Rhinolophus ferrumequinum: one gene and its partners. The protein of the gene in region 1 purifies or fractionates together with the protein of each later gene. This does not show direct contact. Links are inferred from orthologs where the notes say so. Each region holds a gene or a part of one and is shown on either strand. Other genes may lie near its edges. The genes, in order: ARHGEF6, NHERF2 and GIT1.

Region 1 (6,989 bases):
GGCCTCTGGTCCATTTTCACAGAACAGGCATAAAGAGAGTCTGAGAGGTAATACATCAATTACAAGTACAGGTGGTTAAGGACTAAGTGGTTCTAATGTTGGATTGTGTTCCTGTGGATATTGAGATGACCCAGATGTTGGCAGAAAGAAAGGCAGAAAATAAATCAATTTATTTCTCCAAGTGTGACCTTGGTCCACCTGCATCAGAATCAGGTTGGGTACTTTAGTGATACAGATTCCTTTGTCCCATTGTGGATCTTCTGAACTAAGGTATTGGTGAATAGGGCTCCCAAATCATTTTAACAAGTGCCTCAGTAGATTTAAATTTTTTTCTTTTGTTTCTGTTTTTTTTTTTCATTTAAACATTTTATTTTATTTTATTTTTATTAGTTTCAGGTGCACAAGACAAAGTAATACTTAGACGTTTATCATTTATATCCCTCACATTGTGGGCCCCCCTGCCCCCATCCACTATCTCTCTGACATCGCACTGAGTCATCCCATTTCCACTGTCTCCACTCCCAATGCTGTACTCCGCTTCTTGTAAGTATATACATACATATATATACATATATATATCTATAAAATTATAGTTGGCATTATTATTCAGCTTCAGGTGTACAGTGCAGTGATCAGGCATCTACATCTTCCCTGAGATGGTCTCCCAAATGGGACACGTGTCCATCGGATACCCTACAAAATCTTTACAACATTATTGATTACGTTCCCCAGATTAATTTTCAAAACCCCGTGGCCATCTTGTGATTACTGACCGTATTCTAATCCCCTCACCTTCCCCCTTACCCCCACCCCCCCCCATCTAGCAACCCTCAGTTTCTTTTAAAGGAGGATGCAGCTCATAGTGGCCCATGTGGGGATTGAACCAGCAACCTTGGTGTACCAGCACCAGATTTAAAAATTTTAAAGTCAATTATGAATATTTCAAACACATAAAAGTAAACAAGTTCCAGTGTACCCAGCAACCAGTTTTAAGAAATGTTAACATTTACCTTACTTCCTGCAGATCTTTTTACTTTTAATAAAATGTTGCCTATTTTGGCTCAAGTTCAATTCTCATTCTTTTCTCCTCCTTCCCTCACAAGAGGTGATTATTTTTGTACATCGTTGTTTGTAAATCATTGCTTTAGGCCTTTGAGGGTTATTGAGCAGAGGTATTACACTGTTAAAGAGGTGTTTTTGGAAAATCAACCAAGCTGTGCTCTGCCAGAGTTCATTAGGAGAGAAAACGGAGGTAGGAAAGCCAGTGAAGACACACGTTCAGTGGCTCAGGGTATATGGTACTAACGATCTTAAGTAGAGTGAGAGACCTTTGCTCTTTTTACTCATGCTTTTGTGTGAAGACTGCTCTTTGTGCGACTGTGACCTCCAGTCTTTATATTCCCCACCCTTATTTCCCCAGTTCATCAGCTCCTTTCTATCATCACTGGCTTCCTTACCCAGCCAGGGTTTCATGATTAGTCATTTCGCCCATATGCTTGCTACTGTCTCAGAATTCCTTGCTTTCTTGACATTTGACCATACCAACATCTTCCAGTCTTTCTACTCATAGAATTGTTGCTTCTGCCTTGAGGAGGTGGCCTTGCCTTTCTGATTTTACTTTATTACTTAGAGTAATTTGCTGTAGTCAGGGTCCAAAATGAGGCAGATTTTCATCCAGGTGACCTTCGTGGGCTCAAGCGTATTTTGGACTAGGATGGATTCCTGAAATTACTGACTCTTTGGTCTTCATCAGAAAATGTAAGTGATATGTCAATAATACTGCCTGATTTATTTGTCTGTAGAGTACAATTTTGATGAGTAATTGTGAAAACTGTGCAAATGACATATAAAATGTGTTTAAACAGATTAGATTTGGGAATTTCATTTATCAACAAATGGATTTTGTTTTTATTTCCATTACATAGAGTTGGCCATAGGTCAAAAGTCAATTAAAACTTTTGATTGATTATACCTATTTTGCTTATAAGTATGAATACATCAAACCAAATATTTGGAGGTCAAATCTTTGTTATAGAACTATTGATATGTGCAACAACATAAATGAATCTCAAAATGATGATGTTGATTGAAAGAATCCAGACAAAAAATGTACCAAACTGTGCACTTCCATTCATATAAGATCCTAGAAAATGCAAACTAATCTATAGGGACTGAAAGCAGATTGGTGGTTTCTTGGGATTTGGGGGGAAGGGAGGGAAGGGTTTAAAAGGTCACAAGGACACTTTGGGCAGTGATGGAAAGGTTTATCTGGATTGTGTGTATGATGTGTGATTGTATCTCAGGTGTATACATCAAAATTCATTACATAATACATATTAAATATGTGTAGTTTATTATGTCAATTATGTCTCAATAACAGTACACAAATCATTAGCAAGGAAAAAAATGTTTGTTTTAAGACATTAAAACAAATAAAAACATCTTTGTTGTAATCAGGTAATGTTTATACCCAGAAGACAATACGAGTTCATTCATTCATTCATTCAGCATTTTTGAACATCTACTGTGTACCAGGCACTCTGCTGGGAACAATGTTAAACAAGACAGATAAGACTCCTACCCTGGGGAGGTTACTTTCTGGTGGAGGAGACAGATCAACAAGTAATAATAGTAAAATGTGATAAGTGTTATGACAGGGCAGGAAGGGGAAGCTTTGAAAATATTTAGCAGGATTATCTAAATTGATTATTTGGTAGTAGATGCCTAAAGCTGTGTTGAAAAGGACTGTGACGCTTAGGAGGATCCCATGCATGAGGAGGGGTAGTGATGGTGAGTACCATGCATTTGCCAATATAAGGCTATACTATTAAAGGTGGCCTTATCAGAAATTTCCTAATGGTGTAACTTTCAGCTGGTTCTGAAAATGTTCGAGAATAGTGCAGATCTCTTGTTTTTTTTTCAGAGCAGTATTTTTAATGCAAAATGTTTATTGTTGGGGAAACATCAATCAACCTTCCAGACTATAGTATAGACAGAGGACAGGTGCTCTTTTGTTCTCAAAAGTTCTGTTTTCAAGTGTTTTTTACCCACTTATGTGACTGTGTCTGAGCCTTTGCTAAGGGTACTGCAGCTGGGTTATGTAGTGGAACCAGGTCCAGAAAAAGAATTGCTAAAGAATGCAAGTAAACAGGATGTCAGATGTTATCCTTAGCCTATTTCCCTAAACATAGCTTTTTGGCTGCAAAGTAAAATGCCATTCTTCTAGCTTCTGCTTATATACAGTGATGGCCGACAGCAGGTACAATCTTTATTTGCTTGGCATGGTGTCACCATGCAACTCAACATGTTTTGCAAGGAATGGTCATGACATACCATCTCTGTGAGAGTATGAGGACATCTGGCCATTTTGTGGAAGACTTTTCTCAGCCTACCTTCTTTGAGCCCTGTTGTGCCAGCCAGCACAGCTCCCCACAAGGCTCAGATCTGTCTGACCTAAGAGCCAGTTGGCATCTTCCTCCTGACAGAAGCCAGATTTTCACTGGGGCTAGACTATTTATTGACAGCGTTTTCCCAGACTGGCCCAAGAGTGTCTCATTTCCAAGGTCCCCTGAAGTGCTGGCTCACCTCTGTTTTCCAAGAGCTCTTATTTCCTTCTTTCTCCTCCCTCCCCAGCATCCTCCTCACTTCCTTCCCTAAGAGCTTCTTGCACCGCTTTTTTTTTTTTTTTTTTGGTGTGTGTGTGTGTATGTTTCTTCTTCTTTTTTTTCAATCCTAACGAATTTGTTTTGCAGGTTTTGAAAAAGAAAATCAGTGTTTTCCAGGAATTTTATATTCATTCTCTTTGCACATCTCTGAGTGTGATCTTTGTGGTTTTGAAATCCCATAATTTGAGTGGGTTCCACCGTTGTCTAAGAAAAGTTGTTTTAAAGCTTTGCTCTGCAAGCACCAGAAGAGAACTCATAAAAAGGAAGACAACAGCAGATGCAATCGCGGATGTGGCTAAGTCCTTGCAGCTGCCCCAGAAAGCTGTTCGGAGGGTACAGTCCTCAGTAATGAATCCAGAAGAGCGAATCGTGACATGGCTTATATCCTTGGGAGTTTTAGATTCCCCAAAAAAGACCATCTGTGATCCGGAGGAGTTTTTGAAGTCCTCGCTGAAAAATGGGGTAGTGCTGTGCAAACTGATCAACAGACTGCGGCCTGGCTCTGTAGAAAAGGTAAGGACATCACATTTGTAGTATCTGTGGGAGTGCTTACCACCAGAGAGCAGCAATAATGTAACTCGTGAAATTTTCGATTGCCCAGGTCTTGGGACTCTATTACTTTAATATCTTTCTAAGAGTTAGACAATCTTTCTTGCTGCTTTTGTAGTGTGAAAAAGTCAGAAAATGAAATGTTATCATTTAGTAATTAGCCACCAAATTTTAGTATAATAACCTGTTACACCACTGGTACCAGCGGACAAGGAGAACACCCATATTATAAGCTTGCTCTGTCATAGAGATGCATGTTACACTTCCCTGTGTACCGAGGACATGTTTTGAACTTGGGGTACATATGAGTCTGTGGAATAATGGGATGATTTATAACAGATGTTGATGGTGTTTATTGATAGTTTGACTAAAATCAATGTAGATTTTCTTCTCAAAGAAATAAAATATCTATAGAAAGAGAGGCTATTTAGCAACTAGGATAAATAATTCCAAATGTTACATAAGGTTTTTAAAAAAATAGAAACTGAATATATGATTTGAATGCAACATGTGTTCAAAGTGAAACTACCCTTGTTCTCTTTTAAAAATCCAAAATTTTTAATGTTGGAAACCCATAATTACAAGGATGGATAATTTCCAAACTAGGCACTTTAAGTCAGTTTAAAGGTATAGTTCTACAATTATTTTCTTAAGGTCATCAGGGAATGTGACTGTGAGTGTAGTTCTTTTGCCTTCTTGAAGTAGTTTATTTTTATTGAACAAATTGATTTACTTATAATTCCTTAAACTTGAAAAGCAGTGAGAAAATGGTGGTAAAAGGTAGAGAATTGTGATCAAATGTAGAGAACAAAAAAAGGGAAAATATACTTTGAATAAATTATTATGAAGAGACGGGAGCAAGGTAGTGTGCAGAAAGCAAAACCAAGCTCAAAATACTGTCTGGGTTTCTCTAATTTGCTATCAGCACTCAGACAAAAGAGCATGAGAAAAAATTCATAGAGATGGCTTGAGACTAAAGATTTGATGACATTTGAAACAAAAACCAACCGTTTAGATTTTTGCATCACTTCCTTTGGTGGTTATTTCTCTTCCTGGATTGACAGCAACGCTGCTCCCTGCCTTAAAAAGCCTACCTATGTAGTTATTAGAGAATGGTGAATATGGTATGCTTGGCATGGGATGACAGTCTCCAAGTGACATTTGACTATTTTTCTCTAGTACTGTCTGGAGCCCCAAACAGAAGCCGACTGCATCAACAACATCAATGACTTCCTGAAAGGATGTGCAGCCCTTCAAGTGGAGGTAAGCCCACCCAGGTTGTCTTCCTTCTTGTCATCGTTTTTCACTCTGCTAGTGAAGGCAGTGCTGTAGTGTAAGTCCTTGGTTTATTTTCACTGTTAAACAGAGGAAGCATTTTAGGGAAAACCATGGTTGAGATTGGTGGTCTACAGTGGTCGCTTGCTAGTTTGGCTTTTCTAGAAACCAGTTTCAAAACAAAACAAAACAAAACAAAACAAAACTCAAAATATGATACCTTTCAGATACACATCCAGTCCCAAAAGCAGGCTTCCAGTGACAGAGCTTGTGTGGTGTGCTTCCCTACTAAGGGGAACCAAACATGAGCTGCTGGCTGCTGCAGAGGGTCACTGCATTACTCCTGAGTTGGAAAGAGTATCGTTACTTTTTCCCATTAACACTTTAGAACAGAGGCCTTGAAAAGCTAAGAGGATCCGGCCCTGAGTTAGAAATTGTATACTAAATTACATTGCATTATTTAACATTATATGGATCCTTATGATACATATTGGGGGTGTTACTGAAAGGCAGGTAGTACTCTCACCTGTGTGCCAAGTAACTTAACTTCACTGTACCACAGTGTTTTTATCTGTAAAATGGACACGATAATCAGTACCTCATGGGGTTGCTTTAAGGATCAAATGAGATGCTGCATAATAATGTAGAGTTAAGAGCTCCAACTCCAAAAGATCTATGAGATAATGTATGTAGAGTGCTCAGCACAGGACCAGGGACATAAGAAGTGTGGGCATGCATTAGTGGTATTATTTTTGGAGAAATATTAGTAGTGGTTTGAACATGGACTCTGACAATAGACTGCTTGGGTTCAAATCTCAGTTCTCCCACTAGTAGTTTTGTAACCTCGGGTGTGTTACTTAATGATGACTCTATGCCTCGGTCTCCCCACCTGTAAAGTGGGAATAATAGCAGTACCTATCTCATAGGATTGGTGTGAAATATCAATGAATTCATGTCCACGGAAGAGTGCCTGTCATGTAGTTAGTATTCCCCAAGTGTTAGCTATTATTATTAATACTAGTACAGGTAGCTTTGCCCCACAGAAACTTTGCTGGCTTCAGAATTTTTCCTAAAGTTAGCCACAGCATCAGACTATGCTTGTGCCAGAATATTTAGTTCCCGTACTGTGGACCTTAAGTTTACACAATGTTATGTGTCAAATATATTCAGTTAAAAACAATTCTTAAAAATTTGCCAATATTTATGTTTAGATCCATCTCTTAGTTATCTGGGAGCTTGAGACTGGGTGGTCAGTATTTTTGGCTGCTGGGTGCACCCCAGCTCAGTTTCTAGTTTCATTCCTTATGTACTGATTTTATTAGATTTCCCTCCGAGTCCTAGGAGTGCCTCAGTATGGGTCCCATATACCCCTTACAGGCGTAATTTTATATACAATACAGCCTAGTAATAACAGTAACATTAAGCAACTGTTATGCATGTCTTATGTGCATTGATATCTTAAATGCCTTAGATGCATTTTCTCATTTGATCCTTAAAACC
Region 2 (7,238 bases), on another chromosome or scaffold:
GGGGTCTCATGTCTGCCCAGCTGTCTGGCTTCAGATGCCCACGTGTAACCAGCCCCACACTCCCCCTTTGGCCTCTGGAAGCCCTCATCTCTCCTTACTGGCAATTCTATCTCATCTCCTGGGCGCATCCTTCTCCCACAGCGGTTCCCTAATGTGGATGCTCTTTCTTTACTTCATTCTCCCAATTCTTACCTTGAATTTATTTACCCTGATTCCACCCAGTTTTTTCCCCCAGGATCTGAACTGGGGCAAGAGAGAGTCCCAGACTCCTCAGGTGAAACTCATTCTCCCCCTCTGAGCCCACTGCTGCCCCTGCTACTCCCCGAGTTTGGCCTTTCAAAACATGGGTGTCCTGGGGGTGGCCAGTTAGCTCAGTTGGCTAGAATGCGGTTCTGTTAACAAGGTTGCTGGTTCGATCCCCACATGGGCCACTGTGAGCTGCACCCCCACAACTAGATTGAAACAACTACTTGATTTGGAGCTGATGGGTCCTGGAAAAACACGCTTAAAATAAATAAAAGTTTAAAACAAACAAACAAACACCTTATCACCCCCAGTGCACACTAAAAAGGGCTTCCCACTGTTGGTGGAACTAAATCTGTGCTCTGGGTCTGGGTCACAGGGCTGGACCTATGCCCCACTCTCATTGCGCCCTCCCCACCCCACATAGCCTGCAGACACTCTGCATTCCAGAACAACTCTATGGTCCACCCTGAAGGACTCCAAGGTTCCAGGCAGGGTTAACTGCCCCTCCTTGGGGCTGCCCCAACCCTGGGCCTCCTCCCCTTGCCAAGGTACACAAATCCCTGTTTCTATGGGTCGAGATGTTTCTCTAGTGCTCACCAGCGCTTGGCGCCAAGTGGTCCACAAATATTTGTCCCCAAGTGCTGGAACACTTGGTGAGGCGCCCGATTTCATGTTGCCTGGAGGTACCCCGGTTCAGAGAGATTGGTGCTAGGTCCAAGATGAGGGAGCATAGCTGATTAGGGGCTATGCAGAGGCTCGGCTTCTCCGCCTACCACCCTCATGGCCCCCCTATGTCTCTGTGGGGCAAGCAGCCCTAGGACGCCAGCCGCATCCCAATCCCCACCTGGCAGGGCAGGACCCAGTTAGAGCCGCAGGGGCGGGGTCTAGGGCAACCCCTCGGACTATGCAATCTCAGCCAGAGCCCGCAAGGGGCGCTGCGCGGCCGCACTTCTGGGTTAGAGCCCCGCTCCGCGCCTCTCGCGATGGGAGGGGTTGGGTGGCTCGTGGGCAGGGCCAGAGGGGAGTGGGCGGGGCAAGTCGCCCCGGGCGTCTTGGGCTAGTTTCCTGCGCGTCTTCCCTTTTTGGTCCTGTCGGTTCTCCCCTTCTCTCTCACTCTCATCTCCGGGTCTCGTTCTCATCTCTTCCCGTCGCCCTCGTCCTGCCTGCTCCAATTTCGGGCTCGGAAGTAAGGCCTGGTGTCTGAGAGAGGAGGCCCTAAACGGGGCCTGGTCATCCCGCGGGGCCATTAATGCCCATTAGGGAGGCGGTGCCAGCCGAAGAAGCTCTGGGCCATTAGCGGGGCGTCAGACTAATGGCTCCACCCCCCAGACAGGCCGGAGCCCTTCCTCTGACTGTGACCAAGCCTCTGCCCACTGCCACACCCCAAGTCCCCTCCCAGGCTCAGGCTCCGCCCTTCGCTGGGGGCCTTGTAGCAGCGAGCTGGGCTCAAAACTCAGAGGAAAGTCCCCTCCTTACCCCAGGAGGACCATCAGGGGCCTAGAGCACTCACAAAGTCTGCATAGCAAGATGGCAGGAGTGGGTGAGGGAGTGGGGGGTGGGTTATCACCCAGACCACCTCTGATCTGACATCCTGCTGGCCTCAAGGCTCACTTCCCCTACCCCTTCCCCAGGGACCCCAAACAGTTCACAGCCCTTGGACACCTTTTAGCCCACACTCTGGGCCTCTGCCTTAGCCTCTTTCTCTGAAGCCCGAGGCTGGAGGGAATGGCAGGGGAGAGTTTACCTGAGAGCTTCCTCATGGCTGTTACTCCAGGTCCTTGAAACTGACTCTGCTCTCTCTTACTCATTCCTGCTCCCCCTTTGTAATTTTTACCAGCAGTTCTTTTACCACCCAGAATAACCTGGGTGGTTATTCTGTTGCTGTTACCCACCTCCTTTGTTACTGTTATCTTCCTGGGTACTTTCCAGGCTTTGGGGCCTCCTTTGTTATTGTGGGATGCAATGTTCTTCCTGGCCCCTGGCTGTGACCACATGCCATTACCCCTCCCTCCAGCTGTGTTCTGTTCCCATCCATCTTCACTCACAGGCTGAGTCCTGGGCTGTGGAAGGCGAAAGGGCCCAAGACTGATTAGTGGTTCTCCTATGGATGGGGGAGATGGTCTCCAAGCCTTCTGACCCAGGGAACTAGGGGCCTCTACCTTCTCTGGTGATTTCCCATCCAGCCAGCTACCTCAACTCTGGTGTGGCCCCAAAGCTACAGTTTGGCAGGTCCTGGGTGGTCCTGGTTGCTATAGGGTAATCCCTTGGGGTGGTATATGGTGGACCTCCCAGCCCACACCCATCCTCCCAGCCTCCTGGGGCAGAAGCACCAGGCTGGGCCAGGGGAGGCCAGTCGCAGGCCAGACAGGCAGCTTCTGGACAGGCAGACAGATGGAGGTGGCCAGCCATATGGGCGTCTATGGCAGCATCAGTCAGGAACTCAGAGGTGGGGGTGGGGGAACAGCCATGCAGCTTTGGCCTAAGTGGCTTTTAGGGGCAGCAGTTGGGGTGTGGATACCCAAGGGGCTGGGGCCCAGGAGGCTGCCCAGAGGCGGGCCTTGTGCTTGGGCGGGGGTTGGGAGCCCAGCCTGAGGGCACTGGAGAGGGGAGAAGTAGCAGCAAGGACTGGGCCGGATCTGAACCTACTTCTGCCCTCATGGGGAACTGTCTGGGCTGGCTGTGCCTGACCCCCAGGCACCAGGTATGTGCAGGGGGCAGGGCAGGGCTGGGGAGGGGCAGATTGAGGGGAAGCCTGGGCCAGTTGTCTTCTGTATCTGAGGCTGCGAGGACTGTGGACTTAGAATCTCAGCCCTGGGCCCTAGAGGAGCCCAGGGTGGGAGCCTCACCTTGGTCTCTTCCCTCTCCAAACCTTGGTCTTTTGATCTGTAAAATGGCCTGAGGCCCCTAGGGTTGTTCCAGGTAAAATGCTCTCAGAGGCAAGACAAAGCATAAATGATTCTTCATTGTGATTATTGTCCAGTTGTGGGAAGAGGGCACTCATCCTGGGAGGGGGTAGAGGTTAAGGGAGGGAGGTAGAGGCTAAGAGGTGGGGAGGAAGAAGGGAGGGGAGGGCTCTGTGTGGAGGATCCAACAGGTTTCTGCTCAAGGAAACACCTCCTGTGAGTGCTGACCACAGGCCCGAGCTCAGAGGCCAAAGTCCTCAGCACATTTCATCCCAGGTCAGGAGTGGGGTAGCAAAGACCCTCTTGTCCCAGCCAGACGAGCATTTCCTTCCCCCACCCTTTCTGTCACCTACCAGGCCTAGGATGAGCAGGGTCATAAGTGGGGGCCCTTGGCATAGGGAGGGAATGATGGACACGCACAGCACAGATCAGCACAAACACGCCTGGGGAGGGCCAGGGAGTCACCCAGTCACTGACCTCCAGTACATAAGTAGGGGCTGCTGCCATGTCACTTGCAAACCTCTCTTTTTGCCTCTGGGTCCACCCTGGGCCAGGGCATCAATGAGTGCAGGAAGGATCCATATATATAGACGGTGGTGGTGGTGGTGGTGGTGGTGGTGGTGGTGGTGGTGGTGGTGGTGGTGGTGGTGGTGGCAATGTAGCTTCCCAAGGAGGATGGGGAGAGCTGTGGCCCTCCTTGTTACCCGCTGTCTCCAGTGTGTGTGCGGGGGTCCTTAGGCTCTATAACACTTTCTCCATCCCTCTCCCACTTTATAAGTGTAGAGCCCTGCATGCAGTAGGTGGTTAATAAATGTTCCTGGAATAGAAGGCAAAAGCGCTGGAGCCAAGGAGGCTGCCGAGAGTGAGGGCGAGACAGAGAGGTTCCGGTGATTCGGGGTACCCTGTCCCTACAGTCTTCCCCCGACTCCCTTTGGGCTTGCAGGGCGCCGGGACAGGGGAAGGCCAGGATGGCTTGGACTCAAGGCGGGGGCGGCGGGGCACTGAGGGGGCGGGGAAGGGGCGGCGCGGGGGCGGTGCCGCAGCCGGAGCTCCGGTCCGAGCCCGAGGCGACGGGAGCCGAGCCGGAGCCACCGAGGACGCCGCCGGGTCCCCAGCGCCTCCGCAGCCTCCTCCGCGCCGCCCAGCGCTCCTGCCTGCCCCGGACGGCCGTCAGCGCCGTGGCCGGTCCGTGGTCGGCGGGTGGGCAGCCGGCGCCATGGCCGCGCCAGAGCCGCTGCGGCCGCGCCTGTGCCACCTGGTGCGCGGCGAGCAGGGCTACGGCTTCCACCTGCACGGCGAGAAGGGCCGCCGCGGGCAGTTCATCCGGCGCGTGGAGCCGGGCTCCCCAGCCGAGGCGGCCGCGCTGCGCGCCGGAGACCGCCTGGTCGAGGTCAACGGCGTCAACGTGGAGGGCGAGACGCACCACCAGGTGGGTGCCTGCGCCCCGCTGGGGCCCGCCGGACGCCCTCCCCGGGAGCGCGACCCTGTCCCGCGCGCGCGGGGTGGCGCCAACGACCACCCCGTCCGGCGCTGCCCGAGCCCAGGCCTCAGCTCCCTGTTGGAGGCCAGGAGGGGGGTCGCACCAGGGCCTGCGTGCCTCTCCCTCCGGGTGGTGGGGGACATGGCCACGGAGGCAGGGGCCGCCAGCCTTTTCCCTAGCCTCCCCCACTCCTCAGGAAGCTCGGTCCTGCACCGCGGAGGGGGAGATCCTGGAAGGGAGGGGCCCGCACTGCGGCTCCTTAGCTTGGCTCAGGCTCTCGCACTTTAGGCTTGTTCTGGCCTCAGTGTGCTAAGTGTGGAGGTGTGGGACACCTTGGCGGGGGGCTCTCCATGCAAGGGAAGACCCTGGGTGCTTTTCTATGTGTGTACACACGCGGGTGTGTACAAAACTGGGTATATGTGTGAGTGTGCAGGTCCCTCTGGGGATCACCCATGTGTGCACACATCTGCCTGTGTGTGCCTGGAGGGTGTCACAGTAGGGGCACACCTGTGTGTTCCTGCATCAGGGAGTGTGTGTGCTGGACTGTGTGCGTGTGAATATACACGTCTGCACCCTGGGTTTGTGTGTGTGGACAGATCTGCACACCTGGACATGTGTATATGAGCTGGGCTGTGTGTGTGTGCATGAGCGCATGCGTGCTGGATGAGTGTGTATGAGCTGAGTTGTATGTGTGAAAATATTTATGTCTGCGCACCTGGATGTGTGGAGTCATCAGTGCGTTTTTGGCAGCCAGTACTCTGGTGTGTGCCCTGGCTGATGGTGCCAGGGTCACTGCTGGGGGCAGCGCATGTCTCTCCTCGGAGGCTGCTGGCCTTGCAGGCACCACCAGCCGCAGCCCCCAGCCTCCTACAGCTGAAGATGAGGGCCAGAGGGAGGGCAGAGTCTCCTCTCTACAGGTTCTGACCCCTAGGGGTGTCCATCTCCCACTGGCTGGAGACTCACCTGAGTTGGGTCTAGCCTTCCTCCACTCCTCTGCTTAGGGTCCTCTGTGTCCCCCCAGTGCCTCTGCATCCATGATATGTTGGTGTGGCCAGCTCTTGGGGCCTAGAGATTAGTGTAGTGGTTTTTGGCTGGGCCAGGAGCTGACCTCCTGCTCTCACCCTGGGCCCTTGTCTATCTCTGTATCTGTCTGCTGTCCTCTGTCTCCCACCCAGAATGTCAACCTGATAAAGCTGTTTGCTGAAGGAGGGTGGGGGTCAGGGCCAGAGGGCTTGGCTTGACAGGTCACAGGGAGGGGCTGGCAGAGCTGGTACCTGTCCTCTGTTTAACACTCATTGCCACCCTTGCCCCTACTTGTCCCAGGCTTCCGGGTGCTGGTCTAAGAACTTCACACACAGGAGCCTGTGGGACCCTCCCACTGCCCCAGGAGGGAGGGTGTGCAGTTATAGCTCCCATCTTAACAGATGAAAAAAACCGATGCTTAGAGATGTTAGGTGACTGGTCTGGGTCCCACAGTCAGGAAGGAGCAGGCTGCTGGGGCCCTGCTGCGACTCTCAGAGTCACAGGGAGAGGAGGGACAAAGCAGGGCTGCGGGAAGATGGGCCTGATTCAGACCCTCCTCTCTGTTGACAAGTTCTGCCAAGCAGCAGATGGGGACTCCATCTACCCTCCCCAAGGCCTTGGGGTGGGTGTGAGTGTGTTACCCTTCCTACCCCAAGGCCCGGTGGGCACTTTCTCCTTTTCCCTGCAGGGCACCGTGGCATGCATGCCCCATGGTCACCCACATGTTTTAGATACGTCATAGGCACCTGCATAGACACACAGATGGCCACATGCCACACTTGTCCCACAGGTGGACCTGCCCCTCCCCACCTCCACCTGCTTGGTGTGAATCCTGTTTATGGGGTGCTGTGTGATGCCTGAGTAGGTGCCTTGCCACAGGAACCCAGGGCTTCCCCTCTCTGCAGGTCCAGCCAGAGTGGGTCCATGGTCCGGATCAAATAGGGGGCTTAGAGTCAGGGGTGTAGATGTCCATGCTCCACCATTGAGAAGGACACAAATGGGCACCGACCCACCCAGGTCGTGACACCCAGGGAGACGCCTCTCTCCCTCCAATCGACTAAGACCCTGAAATAGGTGGATGCATGCCTGCACACATGCAAACATACACATGCACACACGCATACACACTGACACACCGAAACCTGAAGCTCAGCCATGTGCCATCGTTGTCACTTCCACACTGGTTGCCTCACCCAACTTCCCTGCCCCTCCTGGAAAAGATGCTGGGCTGAGGCCCTGGGACCAACCTGCAGCCCTTACAGCCTGAGCCCTAGTGTCTGGAGCCCCGGGAGAGGAGCGACTGAGCGGCTGGAGCCCGGGGGTGGGGGGCGGAGCTGGCGGGCCTCTCAGCCCAGCGACCCCCCCTTGATAGGCCAGCTGCCTGCCCACGAGCCCTGCCAGCTTTGGGTGGTGCCATTGTCCATGTGCTGCCCAGAGAGCTGGCCGCTGACCCACCGCCACCTGCCCGTCCCAGGTGGTGCAGAGGATCAAGGCTGTGGAAGGGCAGACTCAGCTGCTGGTGGTGGATAAGGAGACGGATGAGGAACTGCGGCGGCGGCGGCTGACCTGCACCCAGGAGATGGCCC
Region 3 (7,246 bases), on another chromosome or scaffold:
CAAAGAAGCGCTGCAAACTCGCCGGGGAGGCGGGACAGCCCGCGCCGCGCCCTCTCCCCACGCTGGGCGGGCGTGCCCGGCCGTGGGGTCCCCGCGGCGCCGGACGGCGCTCTTACCTGGCCGGCGCGGACCTCTTTCTCCAGCTCGCGGTGGCGGTTGTGCCACACGAGGTAGTGCAGCGGGTACTTGCCCTCGGGCCCCTTCTTGACGGAGGCGTTAGCGGGTATCATCGCCCGCTCCTCATGCCGGGGCCACGGCGCCCGGCCCGGGAGGAGGCAAGGCGCCGAAGACGGGGCCCGGGGCCGCGGGGTGGGGGGCCGGCGCTGCCTGCTCGCAGGGTTGCGGCTCAGGCATGTGCGAGCGGCGCCGGCGGGCGGGGGCGGCGTGCCCGGCGCGGTGCGGGTGGCCGGCGTCCTCGCGAGGCGGCGGCGGCGACGGCGGGCGGCGTGGAGAGGCCCCCACCCGCCCCGGGAGGGAGCGGGCACTCGGCGACGCGGCTCCTACTCGCTCCTCGCCTCTCACACCCCCGCACACAAAGACGCGGCTCCACAGAGGGAGCAGGCTCCCGCAGCGGGCGCGGGGGCGCACGGGGTGCGGGCCCCGGGGACGCGGCCGCCGCCGCAGGGACGCGCGCCCGCAGCCCCCGGCTCCTCGCAGCCGCATAGCCCGGCCCTCAGCCCGAGCGGCCGGCCAGGGATGCGGGGGTGCAGGGGAGAGAGGAAGGGGACCCGGGTGCCCCGGGCAGAGCTTGTTATAGCTCGGCCCCGCGGCATCATGGGGCTTGTAGTCCACCTCGTAGAACTGGGGGTGGCGAGTGGCCGGAAAGGGTCCCGCACTGTCCCCCTCATCCCATGAAAGCGTGGGGAGGGAATCAGGCATGGCCGAAACGGAGGCAGCGTCCTAATGCCAGGTGGGCTGGGGCGCAACCCCACCGCTGGCATTTTGCCTTTTGCCTGTTCATGGAGTGGGAGGGGACTACAGGCCTCGCCTCAGCATTGGGGGGCGCGGAAAGGTGTGGCCTTCGAGATCGAGTTTGGGTCCCAGTGGATCGTGAGGGATCTAGATTCCCCCCAAAAAAGAGAATTATGTGGGACTCCTGAGAAAGGTGAGGGAGATTAGTACCAGGGGTTATTGGAGCAATCAGGGGTCTGGCACCTGAATAATTATATAGGAGTCTTCCGTGCCCTCTTATAAAATTAAACTCCATTTCCCACACTTGACATTGGAAAGAGAATGTCCACTAAGTCTGGGAGGACAGTGCCCCTGCTCCATACACTGTCCTCTGCATGGACCAGAGTGGGGTTGGGCAGAGAAAGCAGCAGGTGGCAGCTCCCCATCTCCACCTTGTGTGATCCCCTCAAGAGAGGAAGTGACTGATTCCAGAGACCGACTGCTTCCTGGATAACCCCAGGGTAGAGAGGTCCTTCCAGAAGGGTCCCTGAAGACTCTCTGGTAAAAGTGGATGTTATCTCTGCGGACGCCTATTGCAAGGGCCGCCCTATTGCGAGGGTGGGAAGGACCTAGAGGCTTGGCCCAATCCCTGGAGGGAGGAGGGGCTGAGATGTTAGAGAGACCTGCGTTCGAATTCTTTCTTACTAATTGCCTGACCTTAAGCAAACTGCTTCTATTTTCTGGTTTCTCAGACCACTCACCTCTAAAATGAGACTTCCTCCTGGGGTGAGTTAAGGATAGTAACTGCCCTGGAAACTGCGCATCCCTCCCCTAACCAGGCGGACTGACAGGTGTTGGGGACCAGGCATACAAACGTAGTGCCTTCTCGAGCCCATCTTAGAACAAGACAGGAATAAGGAATTCCACACCAGCCCTACTTAGAACAATCTAAGAAGTGTTTGTGTGGGAGGTGCTAGCAAAAGCTTGCAAACTCTCCGCGCCTTTCTCAGGTTCCTTTGTGTGGTCTTCTCTCCTTCCTCCTCCACACCCTGCAGTGCCAGGCCGGGGCGGGGAAGGATGAGGAAGGAGTGGACTGCCTCGCCCCTTTCCCCAGCCTGGGAGGAGCCAGCCGGCGTCTCTGGCAGCCGGGGACCGCTGCCCACCTCGACCACGAGGGGTCAGCAAAGTGTCGTGGCTGAAGCTGGAATTGGGGAGGGGGCTGGAGCTGGGGAGGGACGGCTAGGAGTGGCCGGTGGAATGCCTGTACATTTCCTTATTAAATTGTTTTTAGAACGTTGTGTGTGATTTCTCTTTAACTGTCCTGCTTCCTGAGGTGACGACATCTCCAAAGGGAAATCCTGAAACCCTTTTATCCCTAGCCCCAGGCCCAGAAGTTCGGCTGTGGCGGGGCGGGGGGTTTCCGGAACAAAGTTTGGAGAGTGGATCTGTGCCTGGGCCACTCCCAGGTAGTCCTGGGCCAACCAGATGGGTCCGGGACTATGTGGGACAGGGTGAATCATCCTTTTTCCCCTGAAGTTTTGGAGCTCAAGGAAGGAGGGAACTCAACCTGGATTGGGGGGCCTATCCCCTCCCCTGGGCAGCCGGCTCTCTTTTTGCCAGGCAGCCATACATACACTCTAAACCCAGGTCGCTTTTCCTCGGGCCTGCGCGCTCCAGCTGCCACGTGCTCTAGACGCGCCCACACAGCAGAGAAACAAAGACGGCCAAGCGATGGGGCTTCCAGCAGCCGCCTCGACATTTAATAAATGAACTTCCATAGCTGGGGGTCGATCGGGTAAACCGGCGTCCACCGCTGGTGGGCTGGGCGCCGGGTATGGGCGGCCAGGCCACTCCCCCCTTTGCCGAATCTGGGGCCACCAAGCCTATGGACTGACTCCTCCGTACGGGTGCAGCACTGGGAGGCAGGTGTTGCCCACCCCCACCCATACTCCGCGAGGTATCCTTGCTGGCAGAAGCCCTGCCAGCCAGCGGCTGGCTGTGGGGGGAGGGGAGGCATACAATATTTTTTTAAAGGTGTGATTATAAATATATCCCGTGGATCGCGATTTCAGACAAACTTGTCAATCTCGGCTGCAGCGAAAGGCGATGGAGGCAGCTTTGCATGTATTTTGGGTGATGTGACTCATGAGCATTACTTGTCTACCCCAGGGAAGCAGCCAGTACACCCACAAGTCACTGCTGCTCTGGCACCGCCGGGATGAAATCGACCAACTCCGGCACCCTTGCCCAAGGACTCCCCCCACCCCTCACCCCACTCCCACCCCGGTTACAGAGCAGGATTCCCTGCCGCTTGGGAACTCTCCCTTAATCGTGTCACCACTGATCTGGTCCCCAGGCCTGGCCCTGGGAACCCCTGCCCTCCCCCCTCCCCACAAGCAGAGTGCTCTGGCCTTTTGCTGCTGCAGGGATGGGGGCTGGGTGCACGCGGGGCACACGTGTATGGGGGAGCATGCTCAGTGCCGGGGTGCACCCACGTGCGGCATGCGCCTCTGCTCCCTGTCCCCCACCACCACCCCGCCGAGTCTCTGTGTGAAGTCCAGGAAGAAAGGCTGCTACAAGAAAAAGTCCCTGTATGTTACACACACATGCCATGGACACACACTCTGGTGGCCCAGAAACACTATACATGTATACAAGACGGATGACAAGTGGATATTACTGCACACAGGCACAGTGGTCACTCCTCCGGAGGTCTTTAAAAACCGCCCAGATTCTTTCCTCTCTGGATGGAAGCATTGAGAAAGGCCAGAGATACAGCGATACACTGCGTGACCTCTCTGGCACCTGGGCGACCATATTGTTGGCGGTGTGCATAGTCAGCAAGGGTGTGACCACACACACACCTGGACACGCAGATGTGGGCACATGCGAGACCAGGACGCACACCTTACCCCAACCAAAGATAAGCGGGTACCCCAAACCACAGCCCCTTGACGAGGAGGGGGGCCTGAAGTTCCAGCTCCTTCCTCTCTTCCCTGATTTCCAGGGGCCGCGGTCCCAGCGCCCGACCTCCCAGTCCACCCCCCATCTCGAAAGTGAAAGGGCTGTGAGGGAGACTCACACTACCTCCGGGGCAAAGGAGCGCCAGAGCTGGGGCCAGGGCCGCAGGCGACTCTGCCCGCTCCAACCCCGCGGCGGCCGCGGTCCCTTTAAGCGCTCCCGCCCCCTCCCGCCCGCGCTCCCGGCTTCCTTTCTCTGGGAGGCGCGGCCCGCAGGGCCGGTCGGCGGGGCGGGTGTGCGGCCTGCCCCTCCCCCGGTGGGCAGGGCCTGCGCCGTTTCCTGCAGGAGCGGCCGGGAGCCGCGCAAGGGGCGGAGAGAGCGAGAGGCGAGCGGCGGCGGGGCGGCGCGGGGCGGCGCGGGGCGGAGGGCGCCCGAGGGCGAGCGGGCAGGCGGGCACGGCGGGTTCCGGGCCAGCCCCGAGGGCTGTCGGTTGGCCGGGCGCGCGGAGCCTAGCCGGGGCCTTGCTGGAGCCGGGCCGGGCAACAGGGGCCGCCGCCGCCCGGGCCCGCCGCCCGCGCCCCCCACGCTGGCCCAGAGGGCTGCGGCCGCGTCGCCGCTGAGGATGTCCCGGAAGGGGCCGCGAGCGGAGGTGTGTGCCGACTGCAGCGCCCCGGGTAAGCAGGGCCTGGCCGGGGGCGGGACCGCGTACGGAGGCCGCCGCCCGGCGGGCGCCGGGGCCTGGCGGGAGCGCCGTGCGGGGCCGGAGGGCGGGGTGGGGCTGGGGGCTGCGGCCTCCCGCCTCCGGCCTCGGCCCCCTCCCGGGCCACTGCGGAGCCGCGTCCTTGGCAGGAGGGCCGGCCTGGGGGCCCCCTGTTCCCTTGCGTCCGCGGACAAGCGAGGAAGGACATTCCCGGCGCCGCCTCCCACCCCTCAGTCTGAGGGAGGCGGGCAGCTAGCTGCTCCCCCCCCATCTCGATATCCAAACGGAAGCGCCAGCCTGGGGTGGCAGGAGAGCTGTGGCGGAGGCCGGCAGGGTTTAGGAGGTGGGGGCGAGTGTGGTTTTGTGTCATCTCAGTGCCACCCCCGCGTCTTGCACCTGCTGCTCGCATGGTCTGCTGGCCCACTGGGGTGGCGGAGGGCAAGGGGCAGAGAGCTGGGCAGATGGGCGGGGGTGGGGGTGGGGGCTTGGATACTGTTTCCTAGCGAGCAGATGAGGGGGTGGCTACTCCTAGAACTCCCTGCCCCTGCCTCCCAAGGCTGGGGCTCCTTGCAGGGCCTGATGTTCAGGACCAGAATGAGCCTGGGCATCTTCCACCGAGGCATCCCCAGGTCACTGGGTGACTGGGAGCAACTAGACTTGGCTTTTCCTGTGCCCCAGGAAGGCCTGCTTGGGAAGGTGGCTTGGTATTGCCCCAGCTTGGGCACAGACCCATCCTGGTCCTCTAGCCCAGTCTGGCCAGAAATGGGTAGGAAGCAGTGCGGAAGGGTGCCTCCATCCCAGGATTCCGTTGGCTTCCTGGCCGTATTTACTGTGGTCTTTCCCTTCTCCCTCCCAGCAGAGTCAGGTCCAGGCTGATGTGAAACCCCCCTGACCTGCTGAGGAAGTGAGGAGCAGTGACCCGAGAGGCTGCTCCCTTCTGATGTGGGAGGACGCTGCCAGTGATGGGCCTCAGCAGCTGGCCTGGGGAAGGACGCCCTGGCCTTTGTCCATCCTCTCGTTAGAAAAGGAGCTGTCTGCCCGGGAGGCTTTTGGGCAGGCTCGGGGGGTCTGTGAACTCTCGGGGACTGTGGGCACACTAAGTGGGAGAGTGTGGGGTGCTATCTTATGGGCCCATAACTTCCAGCCACACTGTGGACAGGCCCAGGACCACAACAGGTTGAGATCCACAGATGCCCTGGTGGTTCTATGGCTCCAAGCTAGAGTAGGTAGGAACTGTGGGTACCTGGCAGAGGCAGAGTGCTCTGGGGGTGGTCGTGACCCCGGGACCTCCTCTCAGAGCGCGCCATGATCTAGAGAGCTCTGAGGAAGCTATCTGGGGGGTATGTGTCCTCACCCTTAATTAGCTGGAGACTATGATCCCCTTTGCCCCAAGCACAGGCAGGTCTGGGGATGGAGGGACTCAAAGGAAAGCTTGCCTTCTACATATGTGTCCCAGGCTATTCTACACCTCTGCTGGGTGGGTGTAGCATGGTGGGGTGGGCAACTGGGATGGGCAGGGGTACTCTGAGCAGACATCCTATCGGGAGCCTGGATTTTAGTGGTGCCTTTATTTCCTTCTTACTCTGTGACCCATGGCAAGACTTTCCTCACTCTTGGGCCTCAGTTTCCTCAACTGTGAAGCAAAGAAGTTGGAGTAGAAATGGTTTTTAAGGACCTTCCTAGCTCTAAATCTGTGGTCCTGATTCTGGGCTTGAGGGCCACAGGACAGCATCAACATGGCAATTGTCCTTTCTCCATGTCATTTGACTGGCTACAGCCCCTGGGCTCCGGGAGGAGTGGTGTGCATCTGATCTATTGGACTGCCCAGCTCTGTCCCAGTCCTTCCCACAGAGGCATTTGTGCCCTGCGTACCTCCTTTTCCCCTGATCCAGGATACAGGTCAGGAAGAGGCAGCTGGTGAGAAGGTGAGGATGGCGAGGTAGGCAGGGTGCTGACAAAGTCTTACTCATCGCCCCACTCCAGCACCTAGCATGGTGTCTGGTACAGAGCAGGCAGCTCCCAAGTGTTTGGATGCTTGTCAGGATCCCTGCTGGCTGCCTGGGGCTACCCCAACCCCCCCCCCCCCGCCCCCATATGATACGTGGAGTGAGTGGCGTTCTCAGTCTGGGAACTATAGCAGCCCCAGTAAAGAGCTGGAGGGGAACCGAGAATCTGGAGCCCAGACCCAGACCGCCTCCCGGGCGTGTGCCTCCCGCCCAGCATCCTAGGCTTCTCACTCCCTCTGGTAGGAACCCTGCAGCCCCAGCCCGAGGAATGGAGTTGTGGCTTTTTTGTAGTTGGTTCATTTGAGGGGTTATGGAGGTGAAAGGTGAGATGCAGCCTGACCCCAAAGGTCCCCATTCTCCCTCTGCTCCCAGGTCTGGGCACATGGGATAAGCGTATGTAGTGAGGGAGCTGGGCAGGGCTTGGCTGCTATGGCAGCTGGTGCCACCTCGGCAGGCACCATCTGTGTCCCTGCCTGCCTTGGGGGTTCAAGAGAAGGGGCAGGGGTCAGTAAACCTGGAGAATGTGTGGGGCCTCCTTCTTTGCCCTCCACTCACCCTGCCACACGGTCCTGGCCCAGCTCTCAAGGGCCCGCTCCTTACCCCTGGGCCGCCGTCTTAACCTTTCCACTTCGGCAGGCACAGGAGTGGAGACCAGTGGGCACCTTGGATGAGCAAGGCTGGCCGTTGG

Evidence for each region.
Region 2: the proteins of ARHGEF6 (region 1) and NHERF2 purify together in Homo sapiens (affinity purification with mass spectrometry; 3 studies listed by BioGRID and IntAct, with this or other methods). This does not show direct contact. The link is inferred for Rhinolophus ferrumequinum from reciprocal best matches to the Homo sapiens genes ARHGEF6 and NHERF2.
Region 3: the proteins of ARHGEF6 (region 1) and GIT1 purify together in Homo sapiens (affinity purification with mass spectrometry; 3 studies listed by BioGRID and IntAct, counting the BioPlex papers as one, with this or other methods). This does not show direct contact. The link is inferred for Rhinolophus ferrumequinum from reciprocal best matches to the Homo sapiens genes ARHGEF6 and GIT1.

Annotation. Positions count from the first base shown.
Region 1 is NC_046284.1:19,496,513-19,503,501, forward strand, and holds the start of ARHGEF6 (rho guanine nucleotide exchange factor 6), read left to right. Parts: upstream 1-3,988; 5' UTR 3,989-4,013; coding exon 4,014-4,178; intron 4,179-5,393; coding exon 5,394-5,477; intron 5,478-6,989. UniProt on the Homo sapiens protein: Acts as a RAC1 guanine nucleotide exchange factor (GEF).
Region 2 is NW_022680357.1:3,770,150-3,777,387, forward strand, and holds the start of NHERF2 (Na(+)/H(+) exchange regulatory cofactor NHE-RF2), read left to right. Parts: upstream 1-4,230; 5' UTR 4,231-4,365; coding exon 4,366-4,578; intron 4,579-7,126; coding exon 7,127-7,238.
Region 3 is NC_046304.1:18,058,558-18,065,803, forward strand, and holds the start of GIT1 (ARF GTPase-activating protein GIT1), read left to right. Parts: upstream 1-4,201; 5' UTR 4,202-4,474; coding exon 4,475-4,526; intron 4,527-7,246. Other genes in the region: ANKRD13B (ankyrin repeat domain-containing protein 13B), read right to left, coding at 117-230. UniProt on the Homo sapiens protein: GTPase-activating protein for ADP ribosylation factor family members, including ARF1.